Mus musculus: one gene and its partners. The protein of the gene in region 1 interacts with the protein of each later gene in a biochemical or structural test. Links are inferred from orthologs where the notes say so. Each region holds a gene or a part of one and is shown on either strand. Other genes may lie near its edges. The genes, in order: Nppb, Npr2, Npr1 and Npr3.

Region 1 (7,356 bases):
GTACAACTCTCAGGTTGCCCTCCATCACTGAGGGGAGTCAGGGCAGGAATTGAAGGCAGGAACTGAAGCAGAGGCCACAGAGCAACACTGCTTACTGGCTTGCTACCCATGGTTTACCCACCTCCCCCTTTCTTATAACACTCAGGGCCACCTGCCCAGAGTGGCACTGCCTACAGTAGCTGAGGCATTCCCACATCAATTATGAATCAGGAAAATTCCCCACAGACTTTCCTGCAGGTGAATCTGATGGAGGCATTTTCCCGTTGAAGTCCTTCTTTTCTTCCCAGACGACCCTGCCCCAAGTCAAATCGACAGACCAAACAAACCAAAAAAAAAAAAAAAAAAAAAAACAAGCAATCAAACCAACTAACCAACCAAACAACCAAACAACCAAACAACAAAAAGACCTAACCAGCATACTTCCCATGTAGCTTAGGAAGGCCCAAAACTGATCCTCTACCTCTTGCGTTCTGGAATTATACACACATGTAGCAACCCCTGTTTATGCGGCACCAGGGATGGAATTCAGGACTTCTGCACACTGGACAAGCACCAGCAATAGGCTCTGCTCTAATTATTTGTGTATTATTTTTATGGATGTGTGGTATATGTGTGTGTGTGTCTGCACGTGTTTGCACTTATGTACATGTGTGTGAAGACCAGAGATCAATGTGCCTTCCTCAAGTGCTCTCTTGCTGAACCTGGAGCTCACTGGCTCAGCTATGCTGGCTGCACAGAACTAAGCCTTCTGTCTATGCCCCCTCAGAGCTTGGATTACAGATCCAGGCTGCTGTGCCCAGCTTTCATGTGAATGCTGAGAATCCAATCCCAGGTCCCTATATCAATGACAGGCACTTTCCCAACTAAGCTATAGATCGCATCAGCCTCCCTTCTATGATTTCTTTATACTCTTTTGTTTTGTTTTGTTTTGTTTTGTTTTGTTTTGTTTTGTTTTGTTTTGTTTTGTTTTGTTATGTTTTTCAAGATAGAGTTTCTCTGTGTAGCCTTGACTATCCTAGAACTCACTCTGAACATCAGGCTGGCTTCGAACTCATAGATCGCCTGCCTCTGCTGGGATTAAAGGCGTGTGCCACCATCACCCAGATTTTTAAAAATTTGATTCTGAAAGTGTGTTTAGTGTTACTGGTGGGAGAGTAGGGGAGTGCTGGGTGTGAGACCCATGCAAGGCAAGTGCTCTGTGGCTGAGCCTCATGCCCAGCCAGGAGACTGGTTTTAAAGGACATGCCCTGTAGTGCTTTCAGCTAGCAACATCCTCCTGGAAGCTCAGCGAGGTGTCCCTCTGGGTAGCCTTTCCAGGACTTTGCTTGGAAAAAGATAGCCAAGTACTGGGTGCAGCATGAGTCACACCCAAGCAATGGACCCCTATTAACAGATGTGCCTAGTCTCCTGGGAAAATGGGTGTGTACTGTCCCCTGAGCAGAGGTGCAGGCTGCAAGCAGGTGATGGCTCAAATGTGCATCTGTAGGATGAGCCATGAGTGGGTTAGAGTGTCTATGCCAGCAGCAAGCCTAAGTCCCTGGCTTGGAAGAGATTGTGTGGACAGTGATGAGAACCTGGGTCAGAACGTAGCTCTGCTGCTTACTAACTTCACGACCCTGGGCAAATCACAGGACCGCTCTCTCTATGCCTAGGTTTCCCTGCCTGCCAAAGGAGGGTGCTCAGCTTCTTCTCAGAGTCACAAGGGGCTGTCCCAGCTGATGGAACCGTGCCTGCCTTGTTAAAAAGGGCTTTGTCCACATCAACTGTTCTAGCTACTCGTTGCCTCTGCATCAGAAGCATCAGAAGATGACTCACGGATGCTTGGAAAATAAGCTACTTTTTAAACCTCAACTTTAAAAAAGAAAAAAAAAACCCTCATTGCTTTCATTAGATATCCACAGCCTTGAGTGCACACAAGATCGAAATGAGAAATCACACGAAGAGCCACCTCTCGGTCCCCTCTCTCCATTAGACACTCTCCAGAGCTCTGCTCAAGCCAGCCAGAACAGATGTGCCAGCCACTCAGCTGTCCCCTCATGTCCCAGGAGGCCTGGCTTTTCTGAATTTCAGTTTTCTCGCCCATAAAATGGGAGTGATGATAATCATGACATTACTAGTCATGAGGACCTTTGGCCCTCAGCTGAGTTTCGGTGATACATGGCATTCAAAGGAGAGGGTTCCAGCTGGGCAGCCGTGGTACATGCCCTTGATCCCTGCACTCTGGTGGGAGAGGCAGGTGGATCTCTGCGAGTTTGAGGACAGCCAGGTCTATCTTAAACCAAAATAAACAAAAGCAAAGTAAAAGAGCTAAGAGATAGATTGAAACTCACGGACACAAATCCTTTTCAAAAGCAGGAAATACGCTATGTTTATTATGTTGTGGCAAGTTTGTGCTCCAAGATAAGAAACAGTCTTGTAGAAAAACAACAAAATAAATTAAAAAATAAAAATAAAAATAAATATAAATAAATAAATAAATAGGATCACTTCAAAGGTGGTCCCAGAGCTGGGGAAAGAGACCCAGGCAGAGTCAGAAACTGGAGTCTCCTGCAGCCAGGAGGTCTTCCTACAACAACTTCAGTGCTGTGGGGAGGAGAGACAGGGCAATGTCACACTCGGAAGTGAAACTGAAGCAGGTGCCGAGTCCCCCACCACCACCACACCCCCATCTTCAGTCCCCAGATGATGTCGAAGTTTAAGGCTCTGGAAAAAGCTATCTCACAGGGCCTCTGTTTCTCCTGTAAAGTGGGTTGGGCATGCCCTTTGCCTGAGGGGAAATGCTCAGAACTCTTTCTGCCTTGTGAAGGGGTGATTAGACATCAGGCAGTCTGCTCCCTCAGAGCGTGTGACCCCTCTGATGGAAGGTAGGTGCTGACCTGTGAGAATGTAATGCAGAACCCATGTGATATTTCCTGACAGGCTGCAGGAGTATGCCAGATAGCAAACCTAGGGGCCTCTAAGGGTAGCATGCACGGGGATGGGATGGGTGTGCAGCTTTGCAGGGAAGTGGCAAGGTAGGTGCTCACCGTTACAGCCCAAACGACTGACGGATCCGATCCGGTCTATCTTGTGCCCAAAGCAGCTTGAGATATGTGTCACCTTGGAATTTTGAGGTCTCTGCTGGACCCGGAGGGTGCTGCCTTGAGACCGAAGGACTCTTTTTGGGTGTTCTTTTGTGAGGCCTTGGTCCTTCAAGAGCTGTCTCTGGGCCATTTCCTCCGACTTTTCTCTTATCAGCTCCAGCAGCTTCTGTGATGGATTGGGGAGCCCAGACGTCAGAAACACACACACCTGAATCCCCCATCCTTCCATAGTGCTCATCAGTTAAGAGATATGCTGCCCAATCTTTCAGTTTGCTGACTCTCACATGGCTAATTCCCAAAGGACTCGAGGTCTTTTCATTGCCGCTTCCCAAACCCTTCAGGCAGACCCTCAGTGCTCACCTGCATCTTGAATTGCTCTGGAGACTGGCTAGGACTTCCCAGAGGATAGGAGTGACCTCCCAGCGGTGACAGATAAAGGAAAAGCAGAAACAGAATCATCTGGGACAGCACCTTCAGGAGATCCATGCCGCAGAAGCGATGGGCCAGGCAATGATGCCGTGTTCTCCCTTGTCTCGCCTCCCCAAGCAGCTTGTGCACTGGTGTCTTCAACAACGGTGCCTCTGCCTTTTATACTGGGGCTGAGTGTCCGGCCAGACCTTTTCACGGAGTAGGGGTGGGGTTATCTCTGATTTATCAGCTGCATTCCTGCCGGCTGAGCTCAGGACCTGAGAATTCACCCCTCTGTGCCTGTGTGGAGTATTCATTGTGGGTGGAGGCTGTGGAGAGCAAGCCTTGTATAGAAATGGGCTGGGCTAGGGTGGGGGTGTGCGGAACACACTAACAGTCCTTGCTTCCTGCTCCCTTCTTTCATGCAGAGCCTGAGGGCCTATGACATCCTGCCCCACCCCTATTGGAAATGGCGGGGAGAGCCCCAGCTTTCCCAGCCTGTGGCGAGTGTGGGGCTTATGGCGTGACTCATGGAAAACATTCCCAAACAACACCCACCATCACCAGCCTCCCGGGGAGAGTGTCCTCCAAACCTGTAATCCAGGCCCGGCCTGGCTTCCCAGCACCTAGCTGGACTGCACTACTTCCGGGTACTCTGGTAGCTGTCCGTGGTTCTGATCGCCACACGTGTACTTCACACCAACTTTCAAGCTCTCTCCTCAACCGATTTCCAGGCCAGAAGGAGCTATGTGGCTCACACAATGGTTTTGATACCCACCTTCCAACAACCCCCCTCAAAAACTTGTGAAGATTTCAGCTTGAGGATGCTCACTCTCCAGTGTCAACTGATTAAAAGCTGGGATATGACAAGGAACTTCTGGAATTCCAACCCTCCTTTCTGACCCTTAACAAGAAGAGCTGATTAGGATAGAATTTTGAGTCTGACCCAAAGATGAGGTCACGTAGCCATGCCATCTGGGGCATCATCTCTGGGTGCCAAAGTCTCCTCCCCCACCATGAGTGGAAGAGAAAGTGTGCCTAGACTCCAGACGTGTGGGAAAGGCCTCTCCCCAGCTCTCTCTTAGCTGATCGGCCAACAGTGACGTCTCCCTCACACAACGCACCCAGCCTCCCACTCAGATGAGAATTGAGACTCTGAGGAAGTGAAGCTGAGGCATATACACCCAGGTGTGCGCCCAGTGTCTCTATCCCTTCTGCAGAATCTGTGCTAACAACTGTCAGGTTGGTCAAGGACAATGACCAGGAGTGGCAGTGGGTTAAGGCAGAGATGGAGAAAGGGGATAGTTAGAAGATCATGAGTCCAGAACCAGTCACATTTGGAGAAAGCTGTTAGGTTCTTCTGCAAGCTTCTGGGCCTCTCGGACCCATGTTTGCATGAGATTCTGTGTTCTGACCCAAGGGAAACACACACTCTCTTCTAAGCAATTGTTTAGGAGAGGCAGAGAATGCCTCCATCTCCACTCTTAGCTCAACCCTTCTCCTTGCACATGAATTTGTCTCCTAATCCTAATCCTTCTCACACAATTTCCCTCTGAGAAACCAATTAGCCTACCACCCCCACGTCCAGTTTCAGTAAATTCTCAGGACACAGGCAGAATAAAGCCAGATTCTTGGCTAACAGGTCATACAAAGGACCCCCAGCCAAGTTCCTGATAGAGCTTATCTCTCCTCTGAGATAGCCACTATCCACATCTCTATCACCATTCCTGTCATCTGGCTTGTGTGTGGCAGGAGCTTGAAGCCATTGGTAATGTAACACCCACAATCAGGAAGCAGAGAGCAGTAAATTCCTCTCTCTCTCTCTCTCTCTCTCTCTCTCTCTCTCTCTCCATTTATATAGTCCAGAACCCCATCCATGGATCGGGGCCACCCACAGTGGGTCTTCGCTCCTCAACTAACACAATAAAAATAATCCCCAGTGCTGGAAGATGGCTGAGGTGCTTTAGAACACTGGTTGCTCTTCTAGAGGACCTAGGTTTGGTTCCCGTGCCCACATGGTGGCTCACAATTACTTACAACTCCAGTTCCAGGGGATCTGACACCCTCTTTCAGCATCCACTTATTTTGTTGTTGCTTGTTTGAGACAGGGTTTTATTGTGTAGTCCTTAGGTGGCTTGGAACTCACTTTGTAGACCAGGCTGATCTTGAACTCACAGAGATCTGCCTGTTCCTACCTCCTGAATGCTCTGTTTAACGGACTGTACATATTTTGAGACAGGGTCTCGTAGCCCAGGCTAACCTAAACTACCGTATCTTCCTGCCTTTACTTCTCAAGCACCCAGATTACAGGTGCGTACCACCATGCCTGTTTTATGTTGGCTGAAGATTGAACGTGGGGCTTTGTGCATGTTGGGCAAGCACTGTGCCACAAGCTCTGTCCATGAGGCATACTCAGGGTGCCATGAGACACACATAGCTTGGTGGCTTGTAGTGACCATCTTTCAACTGCATCTTCCAGTCCTGGTGATTGGTAGACCTCTGCTGTGGGACTCCTACTTGATGTCCCTCTTCAGAGTGTGGCCTGGTGCCAGCAGCTGCTGGAGTCTCCTGAAGACTTTTCTTAGGCAGAACAGACACAGGCTGTTAGGTCAGTTGTCTGGTGGCGAATGAGGATCGAGGATCAGTTTCTAATACCGACATGGCAGCTCACAGCTGCTGATAATGCCCTGTATGGTCTGGACCTAGCATCAGTGTGGGGTCTACTCCACCCTTTTCCATTGTTTAAAACAGACCCAGGTGACTCCAAAGAAACTGGAAGTAGACCCCACCTCTGTGCAGAAATGGGGGCTGAGCAGAAAGGAGTCTTCAGTGTCTTTGTCTAGTCATTACGTCTTCCTACAAAGCGGTTTATGGAGACAGCCTCTGACCTCCTCACTTTTGAGCACATGCCTTCAAGCCCTTCCTGCAGCTGGTGCTGTCAAATTCCAGACTGTGTTTAAAAATCCAGTCTGAGAGGGACTGAGGGATGCACTAGTCAGGTCATCTTTTTAAGCAAAAGGCCTTTAGAAATGCCAAGTGTGGGGCAGGGGTCTGAAAGCAGAGCATTTCATTCTTTCTACGCCAAGCAAGGCATTCAGACTTAAAGGGTTCTGAAGATGGGCCAATCTGAGATCTCTAGGAAGCAGGCTTGGTTAACACATGGCCTCTGCTGAGTAACAGAGGTAGGGGAAGGGGATGTTGAACTATGAGCCAGTGAGTGGAGCTTGGGTGATCTGCCATGTAGTCAGGCTGCTCTGAACCCTGAGCAGCAGGGGGTTGGTTGTGTTCCCAACCTGCTCACAGCAGCACCTGGAGAGTCTGGGTTCTCACTTTGTCTCTGTCTTGCCTATGAACTCTGTCCCCTTTGTTTGTAAAGATGTATTTAGTGGGTTTTTTCCTATGTGTATGAGTGTTTTGCCTACACACATGTATGTGTACTGTGTGTGTGCCATATGCTGAAATTTCTTTCTCTTTTTTTCTCTCCTTTTTTGAGACAGGGTCTCATGTAGCCCAGGCTGGCCTTGAACTCTCTGTTTAGCTGAGGATAACCTTTACCTCTTACCCCCTTGCCTCTATCTCCAAAGTGCTAAGATTATAGGCGTGCAGAAATAAGGCATTAACCAATGAATCTATGAATAGATTAACCTCCCAAGGCCCTCCCTCCATTCACATGCGCACTTAGGACTAAGCGCTTAACATATGGGAACACATTCCAACAGGATACCCTTATCCTATAAGTTAGTGGCTGGGCTTGAACTCCCTATGTAGTCAAAGATGACCTTGACTGCCTGGTCCTCAGACTCTACCTCCCCAGAGCTGGGATTACAAACATGCACCGTTCCTCCTGGTTTATGCAGTGCTAAAG
Region 2 (7,726 bases), about 100 Mb from region 1:
GGGCAGCCCTTGCCTTACGAGCTTGAGAGCGGCCCCCACCAAGTGGGGGTAATATCTTCCCTTGCCTGTCAGGGAGGAGGGCAGGGGTGTGGAAGGACGAAAACAACTCCAATCTAAGAATCGAGGAGAGAAGCAGACGTGGGATTTGAAATCAGTTTCTGTTTATACTACAGAGGTAGATTGGATGGAGTTGATTCTCTGTCCCCGATGAGGGGTTTTACATAAAGCACTCTCATCCTCAAGCTGCTAATTCATTGATTCTGTGAGTAACTGTGTCCACAACCAGTATTCTTCTCTTGGGATGGCCTGGACCCCAGACAATGACACCATGATTTTTTGTTGTTGTTGTTTTATACTTGGACAAAATATTCTGGTCTAGATACAGATATTTACAGGAGGCAGGAAGAGGACCAGGGCAGGGAGGGATAGGTCTATGTACAAGGCTGAGCGGCAGGGGGCTATGATTTCCACATAAGGCAGGGGGTTTGTGTCTATGCATGTTTTCCATCTGATATGGCTACGTCTGTTTTTGCTGTGTGGAAACACAGTGACCATTGCCCATCCAAGTACCAGCAGCAGAAGATGGCCGGCCTGGGCTTTACAGGAGTCCGGGAGGTCCCTTTTGCTCTCCCAAGAGCCAGTAAGTTCGCATTTTTCCTTTTCCCTGGAGGCAGGGGGATGAGCACAGTTCAGACTCTTGTGTGTTAGTGTCTTTGTCTCCCTCTCTCCCCCCACCATCATCCTCCCATGATCCACTCCCCCACAGCCTGCCATCACCTTCATCTCCACATCCCCACGGAGCTCGAGCTGGAAGCATCCCAGCTCATCCAGGGCGTCCTTGGTGGTCGAGGAGACATGGATCTTTAGAGCTAGGGTGATGTAGACCAGGGGCAGAGGGAGAAAGAAAAATTCAAGAAAAGACAAGAGAAGAATTGTCACCAGTCCTGCCAGAGCGTAATTATAAGAATCAACATAAGACCAAGAATGGGGCACTTCAGGACCATCCAACAGAGAGATATGGAAGAACTCCGAAAAGAAAAGAGTAAGACAGGTCAAGTTTGGAGTTAAAAGCTGTTGTCCTCACCTTGGCCATTCGACTCCATTCGAGAAGCAGTGTTTACTGTGTCTCCAAAAAGACAGTACCGGGGCATCTTCAGGCCAACCACCCCAGCACAGACTGGCCCTGTAAAAACAAACTGGTTGGGAAAGATCTGGAAAAGTAGACACTAGGGCCAGGTGAGAATCAGCCTTACCAGTATGGACACCTATGCGTAACCTCAGCTGGTCATGGGGTCGATGGCGGATGCGGAAGGAAGAGACAGCATCTAGCAATGCTAGGGCCATTCGAGCAATTTCTGGTGCATGGCGCTGACCGTTTCGGCCTGGAAGGCCAGATACCACCATGTAGGCATCCCCAATGGTTTCCACCTGATTTAAAGGGGAGATTAGAAGGTCACCTGTAGTCTCAGTCATTAGAACACTGACTGTTCCTCCAGAGGACCTGAGTTCAGTTCCCAGCATCCATGTAGCAGCTCAAACTCCCTGTAACTCCAGTTCTAGGGGATATGGCACCCTCTTGTGGCCTCCACAGCAACTGCACCCATGTGGCACATACTCAGATAGGTACACACACATAAGTAAAATAATAAAACTAGTTTTAAGAGGTCATCTCCAGCTGTCTCGGGGAGAGCGAGAAAGGAGGTTAGCTGGACAGCAGGGGTCATCCTGACAGCTTGGGAGACCATGACTGACCAGAGAGACGAGGGACTACATGCCATGGCCCTGAGAATCTGGGAGTAAGAGGAGGCCAGACAGGGGAATACTTGACTCTTCCTCGCGACCCCAGCCCCTGGGGAGTCCTCAGTGGCATTTGCTGAACAAGTGGACAGGATCCCAGTCCCAGTCCAAAGAACCCAGAAGCACAAAGAGAGTAGCGTATGCTCCGTAGCATGGACCAGATGGCCTGGCTGTCAGGGAAGAAGCAGCTCCCGACGCTGGTGGCTGTACCAACCTGTGGCTCACAGTGAAGTCTGGAGGGAGCCCACACTTAGAATTTAGGGATAAAGGGGTACTTTATCTAAAACTTACTCTCAAATTTTCCAGAATATATGAATTTTTATATGAATTTTAAAAAAAATAATAAGGCCAGGGATGTAGTCAGCATTAGAACAGAGCAGCGTGAGAAAAGCTGGAGGCTTGATTCCCAAACGTTCCAGAGAGGGAAGGAGACGTATAAAATAAGTAGGAGGAAATAAAAATAATTGATGGATTTAAGTAAAGGGTTTATGGGAATTTTGTTAGAGAAACATCAGAAAGGGTAAAGTAAGCTTTAAAAGGTCCTCTTTTATGTTTAGGTAGGGTCCCGTTGTATAGCCAAGACTAATCTTAAACTCGTGATCCGTCTGTCCCAGCTCCTAAATACTGGGATGACAGGCAGGTCTCACCATGCCCAATATTGTTACCTGCCACAACCACACTACATGTTAGGAACATCTAAAAAAAAATAGGTCTCACATTTATTTGTGCGTGCACGCCCACACGCACATGAATGTGGAAGTCAGAGGACACCTGTGGGTATCACTTCTCTCCTTCCATCATAGGGATTCCAGGCACTGAGCCTAAGACACCAGGCTTGCCGCCCTTACCCACCAAGCCCTCTTGCTGGCCCATCAGTTTGCATGATAACTAAACTATTGCTGCAACAACCAAAGCTCAGAGAAATCCTGACCCTGCCTAAGGCCACATAATTAGCTATAAAATCCATATGCAAATGCAGCACATTTACGCCCAAGGGCAAGTTAGCCCCTTAACCAAATGACTTTATAACCCGACAATGACTTTAACAAAGAGCTTTGTAACATGTATTTCCCCCACCCCATCCATAGTCAGGCTGTGCCCGCATCCTCGGACTGTTCTGGAAGGAGAGACCAGGCGTCTGTATCACTAATACCCCAGAGAGGAAGGGACTAAAGCTCGTGATCAGGAAGCCTGGGAGCCACGGGTGTTGTGCCAGTGTCCACGCCTGCTAGACTCACACCCATTAGAACACTAGGACGCTGGAGAAACTTAGGGAGCGCTGACTGTGGAGTGGATAAGGTCTGTGGGGTTCAGGAAACTGGGTTTGAAATGGGTCTTAGAAGGAGGTCAGCTCCAGCTCTCACCTTGTAGACATCAAAGTTGTCGATAATGGCATCAAAGCAGGTATAAAGGTCATTAAGAAGTGTCACCACCTAACAGGACGGGAAAGCAGAGGCTCTGAAATTAGTGCCCAAGTTCCTAAAAAATTCTCAAGCTGAAAGACAAAAGAGCTCTAGAGCAAACTAGTCCATCGAGGCTCTCCCAGCACTCCCATGCCCGCTCCCCTCACGGCTCTCACCTGCATGGGGGTGCTCTCAGCTGACAGCGCTGTGAAGCCCACGATGTCACTGAAGTAGATGGTGACGCTGTCGAAGGCCTCCGCCTGAACCGTCTCTCCCCGCTTTAACTGCTCTGCTACAGAACTAGGAAGCAAGAGTGTCCCCTCAGCCCCGCTCTGAGAGAGAAGGAGGGAGAGGGTGGGGTATGTGGCACAGCCAAGCCTTAGAATGGAAGTTGGCTTTGGTGGAAGAAAAGGAAAGCAGCTGAGACGATGTCACCTAGCTCAGTGCACATCCGGGTGCAAAAGTGGCCGGCACTGCGAGGGGACTCCCGTGGGGATAAGTGGTTCCAGTTGAAATCGTTCTGCATATACTTGGTCAGACAAAGGTGAGAAAGAACAGTGCCCCAAGAAGGAGGGACTGGAAACTGAAAGATGACAGCACAGCCCATATGGAGACCAAGTGAGAGCATTCTGCCTGTAGCCAGGAGGGCTTACTGTGGCAAGACGTCACCCAGGGTTCCCAGGGTGGCAAACAAATTCTCAGAAGATGGATGAGCTAGAATGTGAGGAAATTCTCGGAGAAGGGGGACAAAGGTCTTACTGGGGTAGAATTTGGTACAGCAGGGCCTCCGCTTTGCGTTTCTCCTCTAGATAGGCCTGTGTGCGTTCCTCCACCAGCTTTTCCAGGTTATTAGCATACTGTTCCATGCGCAGCAAGAGGTTGTCCAATATGCTGGTACCACCTTCCCTGCAGGGAGGCCAGGCTATCACACCTGCTCCAAGGTGCTCAAGAATGACAAGGCTTCCTATCTAACCCACCCCTGAGGCACACCAGCCGCATCCACTGAGAATGATAATGTTTCTGTCCCCCGGGAGCCTCTGAGCCTGGGTGACCTCTCACTTGTTAAACCGGCGAATGAAGCCCTTGATTTGCCCAAAGTCTGGACGTTCTGTTGGGTCCTGGGCCCAGCATCTCTCCATCAGCAAAACTAACTCTTCATTCAGTTGTGTCCGGTCAATGCTTGGCCGGAAATACGGCCTCTGACCATTCCGCACCTTCTGGACAATCTCTAAGGGTGACAGGAAGTTTGGATGAAGACTCAGGTTTCCCTAGCAGAAGCGACTGTGTAGCAACGGACTCGCTCACCCTTGGGACTGAGGTCCAGGCCTTCCAAGTAGAAAGGACCACTTCGAAGTGCTATTTCCTGTAGAATGATGGCAAAGCTGTAGACATCTGCTTTCTGCATGCCTGTGGTTGGCAAGGGGTTCCCGCTAAGCAGTTCTGGGGCAGTCCACAGCTTCTCTGCAAAGAGTGAACAGGCTGGCTAGGTTCCCCAAACAGCATCTTGGATGCCACCTGGGCTCAGCCCCATGTTGCTACTACTGGTCTCCCTCTTACCCCCTCCCCGGGAAGAAACGACCAAGGCTTGAAGGGTGACATAAAAGGTAGGCGGCAGAGGGAGGAGGTGTGGGGGAGGGGATGGCTTGGGGGGAGGGGGGTGCAGGGAGCAGTCTCACTGGCATAGAGGGCATGGCTGTCGTCCGGTTCAGCAGTTGATCGGAAACTAGCCAGACCGTAATCTGTTATTTTGAGCACAAATCGACTATCCACCACACAGTTGGAGGACTTGAGGCTTCCATGAGATGAAATAATGCTGTTGTGGAGAAAGGCCATACCCTGCAGGATACAGAGTAAGTGTCTGGATTGTATCTGGCTTAGGCAACCTCAGTCCATGGCATGATCCAGCTAACTTCATAAAGATATTCAGACCACCAACCCCAAATCATTAGAGATTAAAGGATCTTAAGACCGAAAAAACAAGCTGAATTGAGATGATGTCTCCTGTAGAGCCTCGACTGGAGGAAGCAGGCAGAATGGGAAAGCCATCACTTCCCATGTAAACAGCATCGAACTACAAGGCACAAGGGATAGGCGGAGATACTTATGAAGAGGGATGAGGCGAGCCATCGGTAGTTTCCCTGAGAATGGCGGCTTGCTGAGCAGTGAAGGGAGCAGCCAGAACCAGCTCGGCACCTGAACCGACTTCACACTCCTAGCTACTGTTTAGGAGGACACGACTTAAGACATGGCTAGGCTCTAGGTGCTCCATAGAAAGCCAGCCACTTGTAACTCTTGTGTATGGCTGTGCATAGGATCCAGGTCATGGTGGGAGCAGAATGGGGTCTATTAGAGGAATGCTAGACCACACAGTAGTGAAGACAAAGTTTGAAAAAAATAGACAGAGGTGGGCAACAACAGTCAAGTCATCGTGGAAGCATGGCTTCCTAGAGGCAGAGATGTCAGAACACTGCCCCCAGGAGATGAAAAGGCCGGTCTTGGGAGGGCAAGGCAGTGTTTCCCCAAAGAGAAACTCTGGAAGCCCTCCCTAGTCGGTGCAGGTGGTCAGACAGAGGCTAGAAGGCTCTGCTGTGGACCAGAATCACAAGGGTGTAACCGCTAAGCTCTGGCCTTGAACAGGTCCAAGGCCTTCGAGTTCCTCCTCTTTATTGCTTTGAGCAGCTCGAGGCCTTTAGGAAGGAATGCCTAAGCTGGTGAATTTACCCCTGGGTTTCATGTTTATCCCCACATCTCCTGTCCAAAACTACATTGGCTTTCCCTAATAGTTTCCTCTCTCACTTGATGGCAAACTTTCATATGCATAAATTAATTTTAAAAAAAACTTTCTGAAAACTTAGCAGAAAATCAGAGCCAGTGTCAGGCACAGTCAGGCGGTCTCATGAGTAGGCTGATGAGACCTGCTTCTGAACACTGTCTAAGCCATACAAGATTCATCAGTGTGCTTCAGCCATCTGCAGGCCTCTGAGTCATTTTAAAATGGTTGGCCGTTAGAATGGAAACAGATTTAGTGCAAGTTTCCTTCCTCTCTCTTAGGTTAACATACAAATACGTTTCAGTCTCTGACCAGGTACGATGGTGGTGCACACCTACAATGTTAGCATTGGGGAAGTAGAGATGGGAAAGTCAGGAGTTCAAAGCAATTTCTGGCTACATAGTAAGTTTGAGGCCTGTCTAGGCAACATGAAACCCTGTCTCTAAAAGAAATCAAAGCTACAAGTGTTGTCCCCTGCCATTAATCCCAGTACAGAGGAGCCGGGGCAGGTAGATCTCTTGAGTTCAAGGTCAGCCTGGTCCACAGAGAGATACTTCCAGGTCAGCCAAGGCAACACAGAGAGACCCAGTCTCCAGAAACAAGCAGTTAAATTTAGAAATGTTAAAGACTAGAGACCTCTTCCGCAGTTAGTTACAGGCATGGGGAATATTGGTTAAAGCATGAAATTACAGGAGACGAGTGCACGGAGACCTCATTCGACGTCTTCATTTGTTTGTTTTGAGACAGATTCTTACTGATGCTCAGGCTGTTCTCGAACACCCAATCCTCCTGTCTCAGCGAGTTCTGGGATTACACATGTGCACTACCCACACCCAGCTAAGGGATGCCTCGTCACTGTTCGGTTTGGTTTAATTGTCTTCTTTTTCTGGATAGGATCTTGTTATGTAGTCCACACTAGCCTGAAACTCACTCTGAAGCCTTGGTCAAGCTCCAAGTCAGAGCAGCCCCCTGCCTCAACCTCCCATATGATGGCATGCCCAGCTATAGGATTCTACTACAGGGGAACCCTTTGAGGTAAAGAGACACTAGAGAAACATTAAAGATATCTGGGACAGGAGGACAAGAACCTCTCGGGACATAGGACCGCTGCATCACCCAGTCACGGGAGGAGAGGGCTGGGAAAGAGCTTGGCTGTTAGAGATCCAGGAGAGAAACTGCAGCGAAGATTGAGGGACTGAGACATTTTACATGGCGGGGAAGACTTACCTTCACAAGGTCATTGATGAGCGAGTAGCGAAACATCCAGTCCAAATTGATGCTGTCATTTTCTAGAATATCCTGACAGTGACACGTTAGAGATCAGGGTCTGTCCCCAGTCTCACGGGCTACCCTTTGACACAAGGTGACTTTGGAACCTCCACCCCCACCCTACCACAGTCTCCTACCCCTGTCCCTCACTTGTAAGCTCCCACGAGGACAATACTCGGTGACAATGCAGATGTTGGGAGGGTCTATGCAGGCTCCGATGAAGCGAGTAAGATGGTTGAACTGGACATCTCTCATCTACCAAAACAAAACAAAACAAACAAACAAACAAACAAACAAAACAAGAGAATGGGCAGCCCTAAAGCTTAAATACAGAGGCCAAACATGGTGGCGCACACCTTTAACCCCAGCACTGGGGAGGCAGAAGCAGTAGGATCTCTGTGAGTTCAGGGCCAGCCTGGTCTACATAGTAAGTTCCAGGATAGCCAGAGCTGTTACACAGAGAGACTATGTCTCTAAATAAATAAAT
Region 3 (7,726 bases), on another chromosome or scaffold:
TAGTTCAAAACCTTCAGGTAGCTGGGCAGTGGTGGTGCAGGCCTTTAATCCCAGCACTCAGGAGGCAGATGCAGATGAATCGGTGAGTTCAAGACTAGCCTAGTCTATAGATAGTATGGACAGCCAGGGCTACACAGAGAAACCCTGTCTCAAAAAACGAAAAACAAACAAACTTCAGCTACTGACTTCAACTAAAGGAGTTGGTTCTGGATGACAATTCAGCTGAGAGCTAGGTGCTGACGCTAAAAGAAGGTGAGCGAGCCCACTCCTGGCCTCTGGTGCATGGGGAAATGAAAGTACAGAGCAGGATAAGGAAACAGGAAAGAGGGGGGAAGAGAGCAGTGCTGACTGAGCATGTGTGCCAGGCACTTCCACACTCAGGACACTGCATCCTGTAATAATTAAGGATGAAGTAGAAGCTGGGTGTGGTGTGCATAGCTTTACTCCGGCACTCGGGTGGTAGAGAGAGGTGGATCTCTGTGAGTTCAAGGCCAGCTTGGTCTACATAGTGAGCTCCAGGACAACCCAGGCTACATAGTGAGATGTCTGTCTTATTTAAAAAAAAAAAAAAAGATACAGAGGCCTCCAGTTTCCAAAGGAAGGAACTGAGGTGACTTCTCCCTGTCGGGTAAGATCCCCTGTGAGTTAGAATTTCCCTCAGGCTCCAAGCCCCAGCTCTCAGCTCTGAGAACAGGATTCCTTCAAGCATCCCTTAGCATGTGGGGTGTCCTGGGGCTCTGAGGGCTGAGGAGCACCCCACCAGGGCTCGGGGCTCAGATGCAGGCTTCACATTCCAGGAAGATGCAGCTGGAAAAGGAGCTGGTCTCAGAGTTGTGGCGGGTGCGCTGGGAGGACTTGCAGCCCAGCAGCCTGGAGAGGCACCTTCGGAGCGCTGGCAGTCGGCTGACCCTGAGTGGGGTGAGGACACTGCTGTCTCTGGAGGATGGGGATAGCTGAGTGCCAAGAGCAATGGCTGATGAGTTAGCGGAAGCTTCTAGATGAGGTGACTCACCCGGACCCAGGACTTGGGTGGTTAAGATAGGAAGATCTTGCTGTAAGTCTGAGGCTAGCCCATCCGTCTCTCATAAAACCAGAGCCAAACAAAAGAACAGGCTAACCCCCAGCTCTGCCTTCACTTGCTCACTCTGACATTGTCTTAAGTGAGGGTTGCAGTTACAGCCTCTGTAACAAGGCCCTCTCAAAGGTCAAATGACATAGTCTAAGTAAGCACGCAGGTATGAGTCTAATACACTACACAAAGGCGGGTGGGAGCTGGCATGGGTAGCTTACACCTGCAATCATTACTACAAGTTCCAGGGCAGCCTGAGCTAAAGAGTGAGAGCCTCTCTCTGCAGGGTAAACAGATAAGGGGCAGTGTGATTGAATCTAGAACTTCCAGGATGCAGAATGACCTCTGGGCTGACCAATAGATGACTATTGTTCATCTCTGTAGCGAGGCTCCAATTATGGCTCCCTGCTAACCACGGAGGGCCAGTTCCAAGTCTTTGCCAAGACAGCATACTATAAGGTAGGTCTGGGGCAAGATTGTAGAGTGTGCTCTGAGGACTAAGAGATGGTTCTGAGGTGGGCTGCCAGGGGACAGGGGTGGTCCCAGGGCAGGGGTGGGCTTTTAGAAGCAGGTAGAGAGCTGGGGTCATGGATGGGTTTCAGAAGCAGATGGGAGTCTCAGGTCATCTCCTGAATAATAAGTTTCCATTTCTTGCTCAGGGCAACCTCGTGGCTGTGAAACGTGTGAACCGGAAACGCATTGAGTTGACACGAAAAGTCCTGTTTGAACTTAAACATGTAATTTAGGGGAACAAGGCTGTGGCTTGGGAAGGGCCCCATGGGTACTCCCAAGAGAGTCGGCCAACAGAACTTGATTATGGAAGGATCTATACATCTGGGATGGGCCCTTGAGTCTTGTGGGTAGGAAAAAGGAGATCAGTCATGAGAGATCACTGGGTCCTCCAGGGTCCAGACGGGTTGTCCTCATAGGTACAGCCAGGAAATCAAGGGGTTAGGGAGCAGATGCTGAGAAAGAATGTTAATCAACACATGACTTGGTGAGGTATGAAGCCTCTGCCAGGCCTTGATGCTGCCCCCACTTGCAGATGCGGGATGTGCAGAATGAGCACTTGACCAGATTTGTGGGAGCTTGTACCGACCCTCCCAACATCTGTATCCTCACAGAGTACTGTCCCCGTGGGAGCCTACAGGTGAGCGGGACAAGAGGGAGTGTGTCGAGAAGCCCGGGGTTCCAGCCCTGGCTCTTACCCCATTGATCACATGAGCCCAGATAAGCTTCCTCTTTCTGGCCATTCTTGGCCTCTCTGTAAATGGGAGTTGGGGGCGGGCATGGCACTACAGCAAATCCAAGTGTCCAAGCTTACGCCAGTAGCTCCCTTGTACCCTCCTCCTACTCCCAGGGGGGTCTGACTCTTGCTGCCCCAGCAGGACATTCTAGAGAATGAGAGTATTACCCTGGACTGGATGTTTCGGTACTCACTCACCAATGACATTGTCAAGGTGAGTCCAGAGGAGCTCACTGGATGCCAGGCAAGGGCTGGGCATGGTTGGAAGTCACGAACCCGAGCCCTCTCGCCTTCCTAAATATTCCAGGGAATGCTCTTTCTACACAACGGGGCCATTGGTTCCCATGGGAACCTCAAGTCATCCAACTGCGTGGTAGATGGACGTTTTGTGTTAAAGATCACAGACTATGGGCTCGAGAGCTTCAGAGACCCGGAGCCAGAGCAAGGACACACCCTCTTTGCCAGTAAGTCTGACTCTTGACCCTAGGCCTCTGCTGCCAACACAGCTCAGAAGGGAAACTGAGGCCTAACCTCTGCATGACTTGGGTATACCTCTCATCTGCAGGCTCAATCTTCATTGGTTAAAAAGGAGGTCAGACCAAGTGGTCACTGGTTCTCAGCACTGTGCCGTGTGCACAGGAGTCCTAGCTACACCCTTGATCCCTGATTATCTTAAACCATATGACAGCTTATTTTCGCAGCCTTCTCAGATTATCACACCATCCTGTCTTACTTTTTTTTCATTTAAATATTTATTTATTTATTTCCTGCATAGGAATACATCATTGCTCTCTTCAGACACAGCAGAGGAGGGCATCAGATCTCATTACAGATGATCGTGAGCCACCATGTGGTTGCTGGGAATTGAACTCAGGACCTCTAGAAGAGCAGTCAGTGTTCTTAACCACTGAGCTATTTTTCCAGGCCCCCACCCCTGTCTTACTTTTATTATAGCATTTATTACCCATGAAATATAATATTCATTTGCTAGTTTTTCTTTTTCCCATCATAATGTAAAGTCCCTTATCCCTTCTATGACTCCCAACCTCTGATCCACAGAAAAACTGTGGACTGCACCTGAGCTCCTGCGAATGGCTTCCCCACCTGCCCGTGGCTCCCAAGCTGGGGATGTCTACAGTTTTGGTATCATCCTTCAGGAAATTGCCCTAAGAAGTGGGGTCTTCTATGTGGAAGGTTTGGACCTCAGCCCAAAAGGTGAGGATCACTTGGCCTATACCCCAGCCAATCTTGATGAATCTACCACCAGAGAGGGAACCTCTCCAAACACCCCTACCATTCCTTCTGGAGTGGGGAGTCAGCCACTATCCTTTGCTCTGTGGCTGCTAGTGACCAGTCCACTCTGTGCTCTGGTCTGGACTTGTCCCACCTAGACAGGTCTATCCCAGCTGGTTGCCCAGCTAGGCTTGCCGCTCTTCAGTGCGTGCCCCTTCCACACAGAGATCATTGAGCGTGTGACTCGGGGCGAGCAGCCCCCATTCCGACCTTCCATGGATCTGCAGAGCCACCTGGAGGAACTGGGGCAGCTGATGCAGAGGTGCTGGGCAGAGGATCCTCAGGAGCGGCCACCCTTTCAACAGATCCGCCTGGCGCTGCGCAAGTTCAACAAGTTAGTGGTCTCTCCCACTACAACCACTGTAAATCCCACACTTAAATCTTCTTCTACAGTGGCAGCCCACAGAAGCCACCACAGCCTCAAAGGCATCTGCATAGCTGGATGACTTGGCTGTCCCAACAGCTCCTTACCATTCACTACTCCTTCCTCTGCCAACATTGATACCCCACACCCTTTCCTGCCCACGGCCCTGTACTAACCCCCAGACTTCCATCTCTTTTTTCCAGTATGCCCACCGGCTAGTTCTCCCACTCATGTCTCTCTGCTGCCTGTCACTATCCTCAGCTCACCCTGCTTCTCTCCCTCCCCACCTCCTTCAAACTCACTTGTGTTCAATAAGAATAAGTAAGAACTCCAGCTGGTCAGAGAAGCAGGTAGATGTCTGTGGGTTCAAGGCCAGTTGTTCTTTTCACCTAAAACCCCTGATAATGTGAATAGATCCAGCTATGGCTACCTAGAGAGACCCTGTCTTTAAGGGTGGGGCAGGCATGGTGAGTGCCTGAATAATGTGGGCACTGCCAGGAAGAACCAGTCATCCCATCTCATCTCATCTGCTCCCCCCGCCCCCCGCCCCTGTAACCCATGGCCCTCAGGGAGAACAGCAGCAACATCCTGGACAACCTGCTGTCACGCATGGAACAGTACGCCAACAACCTGGAGGAACTGGTAGAGGAGAGAACACAGGCTTATCTGGAGGAGAAGCGCAAAGCTGAGGCCCTGCTTTACCAGATTCTGCCTCAGTGAGTTCTAAACTCTGCACGCGCGCGCGCGCGCGCGCGCGCACACACACACACACACACACACACACACACACACACACAAACGTATAGCCCTGTCCCCATCCCATCTCACCTCTTGGTCTCTACCTGCCCTCTCCCCTCAGCTCTGTGGCTGAGCAGCTGAAGAGAGGCGAGACAGTCCAGGCTGAGGCATTTGATAGTGTTACTATCTATTTCAGTGATATCGTGGGCTTTACAGCTCTTTCAGCAGAGAGCACACCCATGCAGGTAAGCCGGGGTTCAGCCACAGGCAACAGGCCAGGTAGGTCAGCTTGGCCACCTGGTTAGTACTCTCCACTTGTCCCTGGTGGGAGCCCTCATTCACCATTTCTCTTGGCTTCCTTTGCCTTCCAGGTGGTCACCCTGCTCAATGATCTGTACACCTGTTTTGATGCTGTCATAGACAACTTTGATGTGTACAAGGTGAGGTTATGAGTAGAGACAAGAAAGACAGGCAGACATGGACAGTCAGAAAATGTTCAGAGGGATCCTCTGAAACAAACAAAACAAAACAAAAAAGGCCAGGCATGGTGGTGCACACCTTTAATCCTACCACTTGAAGATAGATGCAGGGAAATCTATGAGTTTGAGGCCAGCCTGAGCAAGTTTCAGGACAGGACCCCATAGCTACACTCAAAGAAACTCTGTCTTGAAAAAACAAAGGAGAAGAAGGAAGAGGAGGAGGAGGAGAAAACAAAGACCAAGAACATGGGCAGAAACACACAGGGGTGGGGGGAACCCAGGAACAGACAGAGAAACGGGCTGAGGCTGAGTACATTGACAGGCCAGTTGATAGGCACAGAATGTAGGCGGGTAACGCAGGCAAAGCTTGTCCTTTATTCTCCCCCGCCCCACAGGTAGAGACCATTGGTGATGCTTACATGGTGGTATCAGGGCTCCCAGTGAGGAATGGACAGCTCCATGCCCGAGAGGTAGCCCGAATGGCACTTGCACTGCTCGATGCTGTACGCTCCTTCCGCATCCGCCATAGGCCCCAGGAACAGCTGCGCTTGCGCATTGGAATTCACACAGGTCTGACCACGGAAGGCCTCCGGAGGCTGAAACTCAGAAACAAGTCCGAGACTAAACCTTTATCCCCTGTCTCTCTCCACACACCCTGGGACCACATATCCCAACTCCTACCTCTTCTGGGGTGCTCACCTCCTCTGACTTCCCTGGACTCTGTTCCTTTCTTTTCCCCTCCCAGGTCCCGTGTGTGCTGGTGTGGTAGGGCTAAAGATGCCCCGATACTGCCTCTTTGGAGACACAGTCAACACAGCTTCAAGAATGGAGTCTAATGGGGAAGGTAGGATGGCCCTCCTGAGGGAATGAGAAGGGTGACTACTTAGTACATCCGGCTGCTTCTATCTACCTAGTTCCTCAGCTAGCTCCTGCCTTCTCTCTGCCTGCCCTCATTTCCCTATACATGTATCTACCACATTGTAAATCAAGACAATTGGTGTGTGTGTGTGACACATGGGGTTGAAAACGCACTAAGCCCACCTTAGCCCCAAAGCTTAGTTAGCTACAGAAGTGTTCTCAAAGCATTTTCTTTAGCTTACATCTGAGCAAAGCACTCTAACACAATTTTTTTAAGAGACTTTAACAAGTGGCCTAACACTGAGGTATGTGATATAAGATATTTATATTCTTTATTTTAATGTGGATCTCATTAAGCAACTCAAGCTGGCCTTGAACTTATAATTTTCCTGATGTTGTCTCCAAGTACCTGGGATAACAGGCCTAAGCTACCAGCTTGGGAAACAAAGTCTATTTAATAATAATAATAATATTATTATTATTATTAATTGTTTGTTTAATGTACTCATGCACCCACAAAGATAGGTGTTTTGCTGGTGAGGTGGCTCACTGGATTAAGGTGCTTGCTGGCCAAGCCTGGTGACCTGAGATTGACCCCTGAGACCCATACGGTTCCAGGGGAGATTGGATTCCACAAGTTGTCCTCTGACTTCAACACATACCCACATGAATGTATGTACACATACAAAAATGGATAAACATTACTTTAAATTTTATTTTTAAAAACTTTAGCATGCACATTTTTAGTCTCAGCACTAAGGAGGCAGAGGCAGGTATATTTCAAAGTTCGAAACCAGCCTGGTCTACAGAGTGAGTTCCAGGACAGCAAGAGCTATATAATGATACCCTGTCTTGTGAAACAAAACAAAAAACAAATGATCCCCCCAAGTCTGAAAATGTCCTCCCCCACTCACAATAAATAAGTAATGGTAATAAAAAATTTTTTTTAATTATGAGAGAAGGGGCTGAAGAGATGGCTCAGTGGTTAAGAGCACTGACTGCTCTTCCATAGGTCCTGAGTTCAATTTCCATCAACCACATGGTGGTTCACAACCATCTGTAATGGGATCTGATGCCCTCTTCTGGGTTGTCTGAAGACAGCTACAGTGAACTCACATAAAATAAATAAATCTTTTTAAAAAATAATAAGAATACAATATAAAATGCCAAGCATGTAACTAACTGTCATTTATCATTTCTGGGCCTCAGCTCCTCCATACAACAGTAACCCTGTTTCAGAATTGTAAAAGATCTAGCACAATTCTTTGGGTAGGCAGTAGGCATCTAATAAATGCTTGTTTCCACCCCTCCCTTGATCTTGCCCCCTGTTTCCTCTATTTTTGTGTATGTGGTTCTCTCTCTCTCTCTCTCTCTCTCTCTCTCTCTCTCTCTCTCTGTCTGTCTCTTGTTTTGCTTGTAAAACAACCAGCAAGGTTGGGTGTGGTGGCGCAAGCCTTTAATCCAAACCAAAAACAAGCAGCAAGAAGCCCTGGCTGTCCTGGACTTGATTTGTAGACCAGTCTGGTCTCAAACTCACAGAGATCTGCCTGCCTCTGCCTCCTGAGTGCTAGGATTGACCACCTTTGTCACCACCACCACCACCACCACCACCACCCCACACACACACACACACACACACACACACACACACACACACACACACACACACACACACCGGT
Region 4 (7,726 bases), on another chromosome or scaffold:
ACAGCTTCTGAAACCACTCTCTGAGATACACAAGGCCTCCCTTTCCACGTCCCACTGCATGTCTTAGACCCTGACAATCAGTCCCAACTAGAAGAAAAGAGGTAAGTTAGGGACACAGAAGGTAGATGTGCCAGGAGCAAAGGCACAGGATGCCTGTAAGCAAGGGGAAGTGACTTGGCATTCCAAAGCTTTTCATTCAAGAGAAAAAGGAAGTGGGGGTGGGGCATCTGTTCTCATTCCATAGGATTCTCCCTCTCCTCCATGAATTCTGAAATGTAAACAACTATTTCAAGACATGTGGAATTCTGTCTGTGGTTCAGGAAAAGACACGCCAATGGCTCTTCAAAACAATACATGTTGACGGATTCCGTGTGAAACCTCTGTTTGTGTTGGGAACAGATATGACTCTACCCAGAAAGTTTTGTTTCTGAGTTCAGCTTCTCTCCCAGATCTAAGACAATAATATTGGCTATAAAACTTGTGTTTATTTCCATCACCATAAGTATACGCTTAGTTTAGCTTGTGTATGAACTTATATTTGACAAGATATAAAAAACACTAATGAAATGCCCCCCCTTTGAAACCTTGATCATTGGACTTAAGAGTAAAAATTTATAGAATGGCTTAAGAACTAAAGTTCCATTTTGTTAATTATATAATAGATGACTACTGGCAGATTATGAATGACTAATTGTCAAAGTTGTTGCTTAGCAGTTAAGAATTTAAGTTCTACAATACAATACCAAGAGTTTTTAACCCAGAGCCACCATGGAACAGACATCTATACTGTCAGCAAAGGTTTCCCAACTTGGTGGTGTTTTTAAAACTTAATGACATTTTGGCTACTCATATAATGATTTATTTTTTTCTGAGACAAGGTCTAACTGTGTAACTACAGCTGATCTGAAACTCACTATGGAGACCATCCTGGCCCTAAACTCACTGATATCCTCCTGCTTCTGCCTCCCAAGTGCTGGAATTGAAGACATGGGCCACCTTGTCTAGCCATGTAAAGACATTCAAGAAAGACAAACTATACAGCAGGCATGTAAATGAGCAATCAACCTTAATAATATTAATAATAATATAATAATATAATAAGAATTGCTTTAAAATTGTAGGAAATGACTCCAGGGACTTCACGATTCACCCTGCCTATTTATTTTTTAAACATCTAATCTATTCTTTAACATCTAATCTGGGGATCCACTATTAACCTTGGAACAATTCCTCTAGCTGGAGCAGAAATAAAAAATACTGTTGTAACTATGCTGACATTCAAGGGGAAACTATACAAATTCAAGAAAGGATTAGACATATTCATACCCAAAGAATATAGCCAGGTAGAGAACTTTTCCCACTGTCACCCTCCTGCAATTAACACACAGGTTCAAAAAAAAAAAACATTAAAAAATGAGTATCTCTGAAACACAGGGAAAACATCATTGAAAATGTAAGAGAGAAACAAGCAGCCCTCTGGTTCTGAGAACTGGGGTGGATGCAGTCTGCCCATCTGTCTTCATTATGTGAGTCCCTGACCATCAGCTGCAGCCTTCCTGAGTTGTGCTCCACAAACGCGCCTCCTGGATTAGCATTTTAAAGTTTGCCTTTCTGGCCTACTTTTTTTTTTTAAGTCAGCACTTTTCCCTCAATATCCCACAGGCAGAACCACGACATACCTCCTACCACACCCCCTTCAGTTGTTCAGAAGCTAATTCATTTTATCATGCGGTTTGCATCCCGTTTCCTGAGCCCCACACAGGTGCAGCCCATTCACTTTGACTCCACTGAGAGAATGAGGTGTGGTCCACTCCTTCCCTGGGAAGCCAGCTTCCAGAGCTTGCTAAGCTTGCTTGGACTCCTCCACAGTTAACCTGGATGGATAGGACCTCCAAGAAATTATTTAATTTCCCCCCTTTAAGCTGGGTTTCAGATGCTCAGAATGTTACCAAGAAAGGCAAAATTACAAGACGGTACCCTTGTTCTCTCCTCAAATGATAAAGTCGGAACCAGAATTGAAACCTCTGCACCCAGGATTGAGTGCAAAGAGGATACCCAGCAAAGGCTGGCTCAGTCTTAGCCACGATGCCCTTGTCTGTCCTAGCTCACTGTCCAAGCTATGCATCATTTGTGGTGGCTGCAAAACTCTATAAGGTTAAAGGGACACAGCAGATATCAACATTCCCTTTTTAAATTAAAATCATCACCTCAAATTTTGATAAATTGCATGCAGTTTTTTTTTAAACGTATCACCACTGTGTCTTGCTGTCAAATTCTCACTGTCTGCTTATTCTTGAGGGAAAGGGGTTGTGTTTCTTTATAGACTCCACTTAAGTCTACTGGTTTTGAAGGGCATCATTTGACCATAGTTAGAAAGAATGTAGCCCTCCAATAACATCCATTTAAAACAGTTGAAAATGAACAACGGCTTAACATCAACGTATTCCTTCAGAGTTTGTAAGCTGAACAGACTTCTGTACATCTTCAGCCAGACTAGCAGTTAGACTAGAGACAGCCAAGGGACAGAGGACAGCAGAGAAAACGAGAACCGTTCCTCCCTCTCCACAGATTTGTCACACACCTCCTCCGTGCTCTTAAAATATAAGTGAAATTTAATCTTCAAAATGAAAAAATAGACACATTTCTAATACCAAAATATAAGATTAAAATACTTAAAAATAAAATGTTAGTGTGAAGTAGGACTTTTTTTACATCGTATAAGAAGCATTTTAGACTCAATTTTCTTATATAAATCCTCCTTGCTCACTAATATTTACAGTTTTCCAGAGTAGCTCTGATGAGACACTAAAAGAGACAGGGAGGATCCTTTCTTGAGATATGAATTCAGACCTGAATGTGGACGTTGGACGCAGCCTTCATCAACCACAAACCTGTCCCCCAGTTCCAGAGAGAGGGGCACTGCATTCCCAGCCTGGAGATTTCTTTCATTCCATTGTCCTCTTATTGGGTGTTAAATTCTTTCCAAGAATATTCTCCTTGTAAAAATTGTTTTATCCTAGCTACGAAACATTTCATTTCAGAAAAGCCACATTTTTCTATCCTCGTGTGAACTGCCCCCAAAGCAATCAAGATATGGACGCAGCAGACTTTCAAGACATAAATCTCCTCTGATGCCCCTCCAGCAGCCAGAACACTTAACAGCATTGCGTTGTTTCATTATATTAGTTTGCCATGAGATGAGAGGCCAGAAGGCAGATAGTGATTAACAATCATTCCTGAGCTTCTAAAGAAAATGTAAAATGAAATGACTACTGCTTAAAAGAATGACTTCTCCGAGAACGCCCTTTCTGCTCCGTTGATGTCTGTCCTTCCATCTATCTCTTTAAGGAATCTCAAGTAGACGAAGCGAGAGGGGCATCTCTTTTAAGCCACCGAAAAATGTGATCTGATGGAATCTTCTCGCAGCTCTCGATGCTTCCCGATGTTGCTTTCCTCTTGCTGATTTCGCCTCTCAATGGTTATTCTGTATTTCTTCCTGGGTAAAAGCAAAACAAATGTAATAATAAAACCTCACTCGGCTGTAAAACACCATGGTTCCTCTTACAAAGAGTGCCCTCCAGGGACATCTGGGTTAGGTTTGATAAATGACAAGTGACACAAATATGAAACCCTGTTCTGAGATTAAAGTCGTGTACCCCCAAGGCATCGTGTCCTTATTCAGGGAGAAAAATTGGCATGCTTTCTGAAATGCCACAGAACAAGCCTTCCCCTTCTTCCCTGGGAGTCTTATCTATTCTGCCCCAGAAGCTCTGCTTGACTCCCAGGATGTGCCCCCAGATAAAGATCAGACCAAATGTACTGTGACCAAAGGAACAGGAACACGATTGTTCCCACAAAGAGCCACATACACCCAGACTTACATCTCCAATGCAAAAGTGAAGAAATATTACAAATAAACCATGATGATTTACAATGCCCCATGAATTCAACCACTGAAGATTACCAAAGGACGGGCCACTGTCGCTGCAGCAAACGACTAGAACCTTGAACACATGCGCATAATTAAAAGTTTATGAGATTTAAGCCACAACAATGGCAGCTAAACATGTGACTTCTCCAAACACAGAACCCACTGCAGCCCGGATTCACAGACCACTGGAGCTCCTTCCAGCCTTTCAAGTGAGCATGAGCACTTGTTTCTAAACCGAAGAAAGACTGCGGATAGAAAGTTCATTCTTTGTCCACATTTTTGTATTTGATACAAAGACTCTTCATGTTTGTAATTTGATAGGTAGATGTTCGTAATTCTCATAAATGGATCAATGATCCCGAGATCCCAGCCACTTTCTAGCAAGTAACATAGGAATCAAGGGCTCACTGCCTACCAAACCCAAGATGGAGTCAGAGAACAGTTTTGGTAATTTAACCACCATCCTTCTTGTTTAAAAGAAGGGTGTGGGCAAATCACAGGGAACATTATTGCAAAGACAGGGGACAAAGGCAAAAGAAGCAGGGTGAACTTTAACTCCATAAATGGGCCATACCTGAAAAAGTAGAAGGCCATTAGCAAGCCAGCACCTAGTAGGGCCCCCACAACGATTCCTGTCACTGCAGATTCTTCTAGGCCACCTGCTTGAAAAAGAAACATCAATAATCAGAGTTCATTTTGAGAAATAAGTTAAAATACTTTGACTTTTGTTTATCTCCCAGTTGAAACTAATTTGCCTTTCTTTGTAACATATGTATAATATATTGTAACATATTGTATATTATTTACATATAATATTTATGTACTATATATAGTATTATATGTAACCTATAATGTAAAATATATATGTATAATGCTCTGAGGAAAGGTTTCCAGAAAACACTAGATAAATGCACCGTGACTCGAGAGTGAACAGAGCAAGGTCAAAACAAGTTCAAAGTCGGACCTGGGACAAACACCAGTCACCCTAGCACTTGGGAATATGAGGCAGAAGGCGCTTAAGCTTGAGGCCAGTCTGAACCACATAGCATAATCTGTGACAGGAAAGGAGAATGGAGAGAACAGAGGGGAAGGAAGAAAAGAAGGTTAGAGAGAATAATAGACAGAGAAAGAGACAGATTCAAGATGGATCTGATGAAAGCTGCAAACTGAAGATCTCACACACATCCATCCTGGTTTTGAGTTTAAAGGCGAAGATGCGTGAATGGACAAAGGCACTGGCCCAGAGCTTCTGTCTCTCCAGGTGGGTGGTGACACTTCAAAGTGCTAGAAAGTTCCGGGAGATTGCACTGGGTCAGTATTCTGTTTTTAGATGTTCTCTCACCAAAGTCAGAGTTCCAATCCAAACTGTCCTATATAGCTTTGTGAAAATGTGAACCCCTGTTTGAGTTAAATCTTTCTCGGTAGGATCACCGTTCTCAAAAAACTCAACAGCTACTTTCCTTGCAGGGTTTCAAATAAAGCCTGTGGTGCATGGACATTTTGGCTGCCCAGATCAAAGCTGGGGAAACCCCCTTTACATGCTGGAAATGTGAGACTTGGTGAGTTGAGGGGAGTCTCCTAGGGTCCCCAAACTGGCAAGCAGGAGTGTGAGATTTGGAATACAGACTGGGCGATTATGAGGTCAACACACTTTCTCCTTCATCCTTTCTCATAATTATCACATGGATATAAATTCCTCATCATTCAAAGATGGTCCTGACCTAGCAAACACAGAAGTGGATGCTCACAGTCAGCTATTGGATGGAGCACAGGGCCCCCAATGGAGGAGCTAGAGAAAGTATCCAAGGACCTAAAGAGATCTGCAACCCTGTAGGTGCAACATTATGAACTAACCAGTACCCCGGAGCTCTTGACTCTAGCTGCATATGTATCAAAACATGGCCTAGTCGGCCATCACTGGAAAGAGAGGCCCATTGGACAGGCAAACTTTATATACCCCAGTACAGGGGAACAACAGGGCCAAAAAATGGGAATGGGTGGGGAGAGGAGTGGGGGGGGGAGGGTGTGGGGGAATTTTGGGATAGCATTGGAAATGTAATTGAGAAAAATACGCAATAAAAAAAAAACAAAGATGGTCCTGAGACATAATGATCGTTCATATAGTCACCTAAAATCACTAACTGCCCTGCAAGATTGACATCACTTGTTCTTACTCATATTACAAAGCCCCTCAAAGACAATCATCTCCGAAACCGTCTCCCTTTGCTGTGCTATTCATAAGAAGACACACTTGCTTCTCTATTTGAACCCAGAAACTGACCGTTAATAATATATTCAATAGTTATTAAATTAATTAAATACTTTGCAAGCTGTCAAGCATTTAATGGCATTGAGTGCCCCATTTGGAGGATTTGGGGATTTGGAGGTCAACTGTGAACTTTGAAATCAATAATGAAACTTCTTACAAGAGATGAACAAGAGACAGCTGATAACATTTTTATTTTTCCTAAAAGTGGAAACCTCTGATAACTAAGAGACTAGAGTGAGAGATATAAATCCAGGCAGAATACCCTACCATTTGGAAGAAAAGGATAAAGGAAAGGAATGTGGAAGCTTCCGGTAAAGGAGGAGGGTCAGCCATTTGTGAGTTGTTTCCATGGTTTTGAAGACATCGGAAAAATGCATGGGACTTTCAGAACATGAGTTCTTGAGAGAAACATGTTCCAGACTCATGTGATCCTGGGACGGGAGAAGGAGGACAGTAAATTAAGTCTCTGAACTTACATGATTTGCAAGGAGAGCTGTTGGTATGCTCCACGATTCTGGTCTCATCTAGTCTCAGTTTCAAAGGGCCCCAAGGATATTTGACATTCGATCGCATTTGGAACCGGCCTTCTTTCCCAAAGTAATCACCAATGACCTACAGAAAGGCAAAAGTCAGACGGACAGACAGAAGGTCAGGCCAAAGGTACCTCTTCCCAAAGGAGGCACCACGCTCACAGCCTCGCAGGCATTCTCCAAAACGCATGCCCTGGTCTCTGCACATCACCACCTTCAGGAACTGACAGCAAGAGCTTTAGAAAAGCATGGGAAATGGGGGGAGTGCACACTGTGACTGCCTCAGCGGCTCCTCCTGGCAGGGAAAAAAGCCAAGTCATGTAGGCTTAGAAAGGTGATGGACCATCTAGAGACTGCCATATCCGGGGATCCATCCCATAATCAGCTTCCAAACGCTGACACCATTGCATACGCTAGCAAGATTTTGCTGAAAGGATCCTGATATAGCTGTCTCTTGTGAGACTATGCCGGGGCCTAGTAAACACAGAAGTGGATGCTCACAGTCAGCTATTGGATGGATCACAGGGCCCCCAATGGAGGAGCTAGAGAAAGTACCCAAGGAGCTGGGGGGATCAGCAACCCTATAGGTGGAACAACATTATGAACTAACCAGTACCCCCAGAGCTCGTGTCTCTAGCTGCATATGTATCAGAAGATGGCCTAGTCGACCATCAGTGGAAAGAGAGGCCCATTGGTTGTGCAAACTTTATATGCCTCAGTACAGAGGAACACTAGGGAGTGGGTGGGTGGGGGAGCATGTGGGGGACTTTTGGGATAGCATTGGAAATGTAAATGAAATAAATACCTAATTTTTTTAAAAAAGGTGTGGACACAACAGACAGTGCCACCTGAGGGCCATCTGGAGGTCACAGCCTACCAATGCTGACAATATCTATTTATCAGGTGCTACTGCATAGTGGGAAGGGTGGGTTGTTTGTTTGTTTGTTTGTTCGATTGATTTCCCTACAAAACAATAATCTATAAATTTACAGGTTT

What was found.
Region 2: the proteins of Nppb (region 1) and Npr2 form a complex in vitro, tested with the Homo sapiens proteins (3 studies listed by BioGRID). The link is inferred for Mus musculus from reciprocal best matches to the Homo sapiens genes NPPB and NPR2.
Region 3: the proteins of Nppb (region 1) and Npr1 form a complex in vitro, tested with the Homo sapiens proteins (2 studies listed by BioGRID). The link is inferred for Mus musculus from reciprocal best matches to the Homo sapiens genes NPPB and NPR1.
Region 4: the proteins of Nppb (region 1) and Npr3 form a complex in vitro, tested with the Homo sapiens proteins (4 studies listed by BioGRID, with this or other methods). The link is inferred for Mus musculus from reciprocal best matches to the Homo sapiens genes NPPB and NPR3.

The regions. Positions count from the first base shown.
Region 1 is NC_000070.6:147,982,189-147,989,544, reverse strand, and holds Nppb (natriuretic peptides B isoform 1 preproprotein), read right to left. Parts: upstream 3,646-7,356; 5' UTR 3,570-3,645; coding exon 3,444-3,569; intron 3,250-3,443; coding exon 3,027-3,249; coding exon of another isoform or gene 2,947-3,026; exon of another isoform or gene 2,584-2,946; coding exon 2,567-2,583; 3' UTR 2,340-2,566; downstream 1-2,339.
Region 2 is NC_000070.6:43,643,851-43,651,576, reverse strand, and holds the end of Npr2 (atrial natriuretic peptide receptor 2 isoform 1 precursor), read right to left. Parts: intron 7,495-7,726; coding exon 7,390-7,494; exon of another isoform or gene 7,377-7,389; intron 7,270-7,376; coding exon 7,198-7,269; intron 5,037-7,197; coding exon 4,877-5,036; intron 4,662-4,876; coding exon 4,506-4,661; intron 4,429-4,505; coding exon 4,260-4,428; intron 4,107-4,259; coding exon 3,960-4,106; intron 3,501-3,959; coding exon 3,377-3,500; intron 3,231-3,376; coding exon 3,162-3,230; intron 1,429-3,161; coding exon 1,254-1,428; intron 1,184-1,253; coding exon 1,085-1,183; intron 870-1,084; coding exon 778-869; intron 665-777; coding exon 599-664; 3' UTR 140-598; downstream 1-139. Other genes in the region: Spag8 (sperm-associated antigen 8), read left to right, coding at 1-117. UniProt on the Homo sapiens protein: Receptor for the C-type natriuretic peptide NPPC/CNP hormone. Has guanylate cyclase activity upon binding of its ligand. May play a role in the regulation of skeletal growth.
Region 3 is NC_000069.6:90,453,125-90,460,850, reverse strand, and holds part of Npr1 (atrial natriuretic peptide receptor 1 precursor), read left to right. Parts: intron 1-797; coding exon 798-918; intron 919-1,355; coding exon of another isoform or gene 1,356-1,430; exon of another isoform or gene 1,431-1,447; intron 1,448-1,453; coding exon 1,454-1,528; intron 1,529-1,728; coding exon 1,729-1,806; intron 1,807-2,114; coding exon 2,115-2,219; intron 2,220-2,429; exon of another isoform or gene 2,430-2,457; coding exon 2,458-2,529; intron 2,530-2,622; coding exon 2,623-2,779; intron 2,780-3,374; coding exon 3,375-3,530; intron 3,531-3,773; coding exon 3,774-3,942; intron 3,943-4,541; coding exon 4,542-4,688; intron 4,689-4,831; coding exon 4,832-4,955; intron 4,956-5,081; coding exon 5,082-5,150; intron 5,151-5,584; coding exon 5,585-5,759; intron 5,760-5,934; coding exon 5,935-6,033; intron 6,034-7,726. UniProt on the Homo sapiens protein: Receptor for the atrial natriuretic peptide NPPA/ANP and the brain natriuretic peptide NPPB/BNP which are potent vasoactive hormones playing a key role in cardiovascular homeostasis.
Region 4 is NC_000081.6:11,841,793-11,849,518, forward strand, and holds part of Npr3 (atrial natriuretic peptide receptor 3 isoform a precursor), read right to left. Parts: intron 6,813-7,726; coding exon 6,677-6,812; intron 4,594-6,676; coding exon 4,506-4,593; intron 3,497-4,505; coding exon 3,385-3,496; 3' UTR 1-3,384. UniProt on the Homo sapiens protein: Receptor for the natriuretic peptide hormones, binding with similar affinities atrial natriuretic peptide NPPA/ANP, brain natriuretic peptide NPPB/BNP, and C-type natriuretic peptide NPPC/CNP.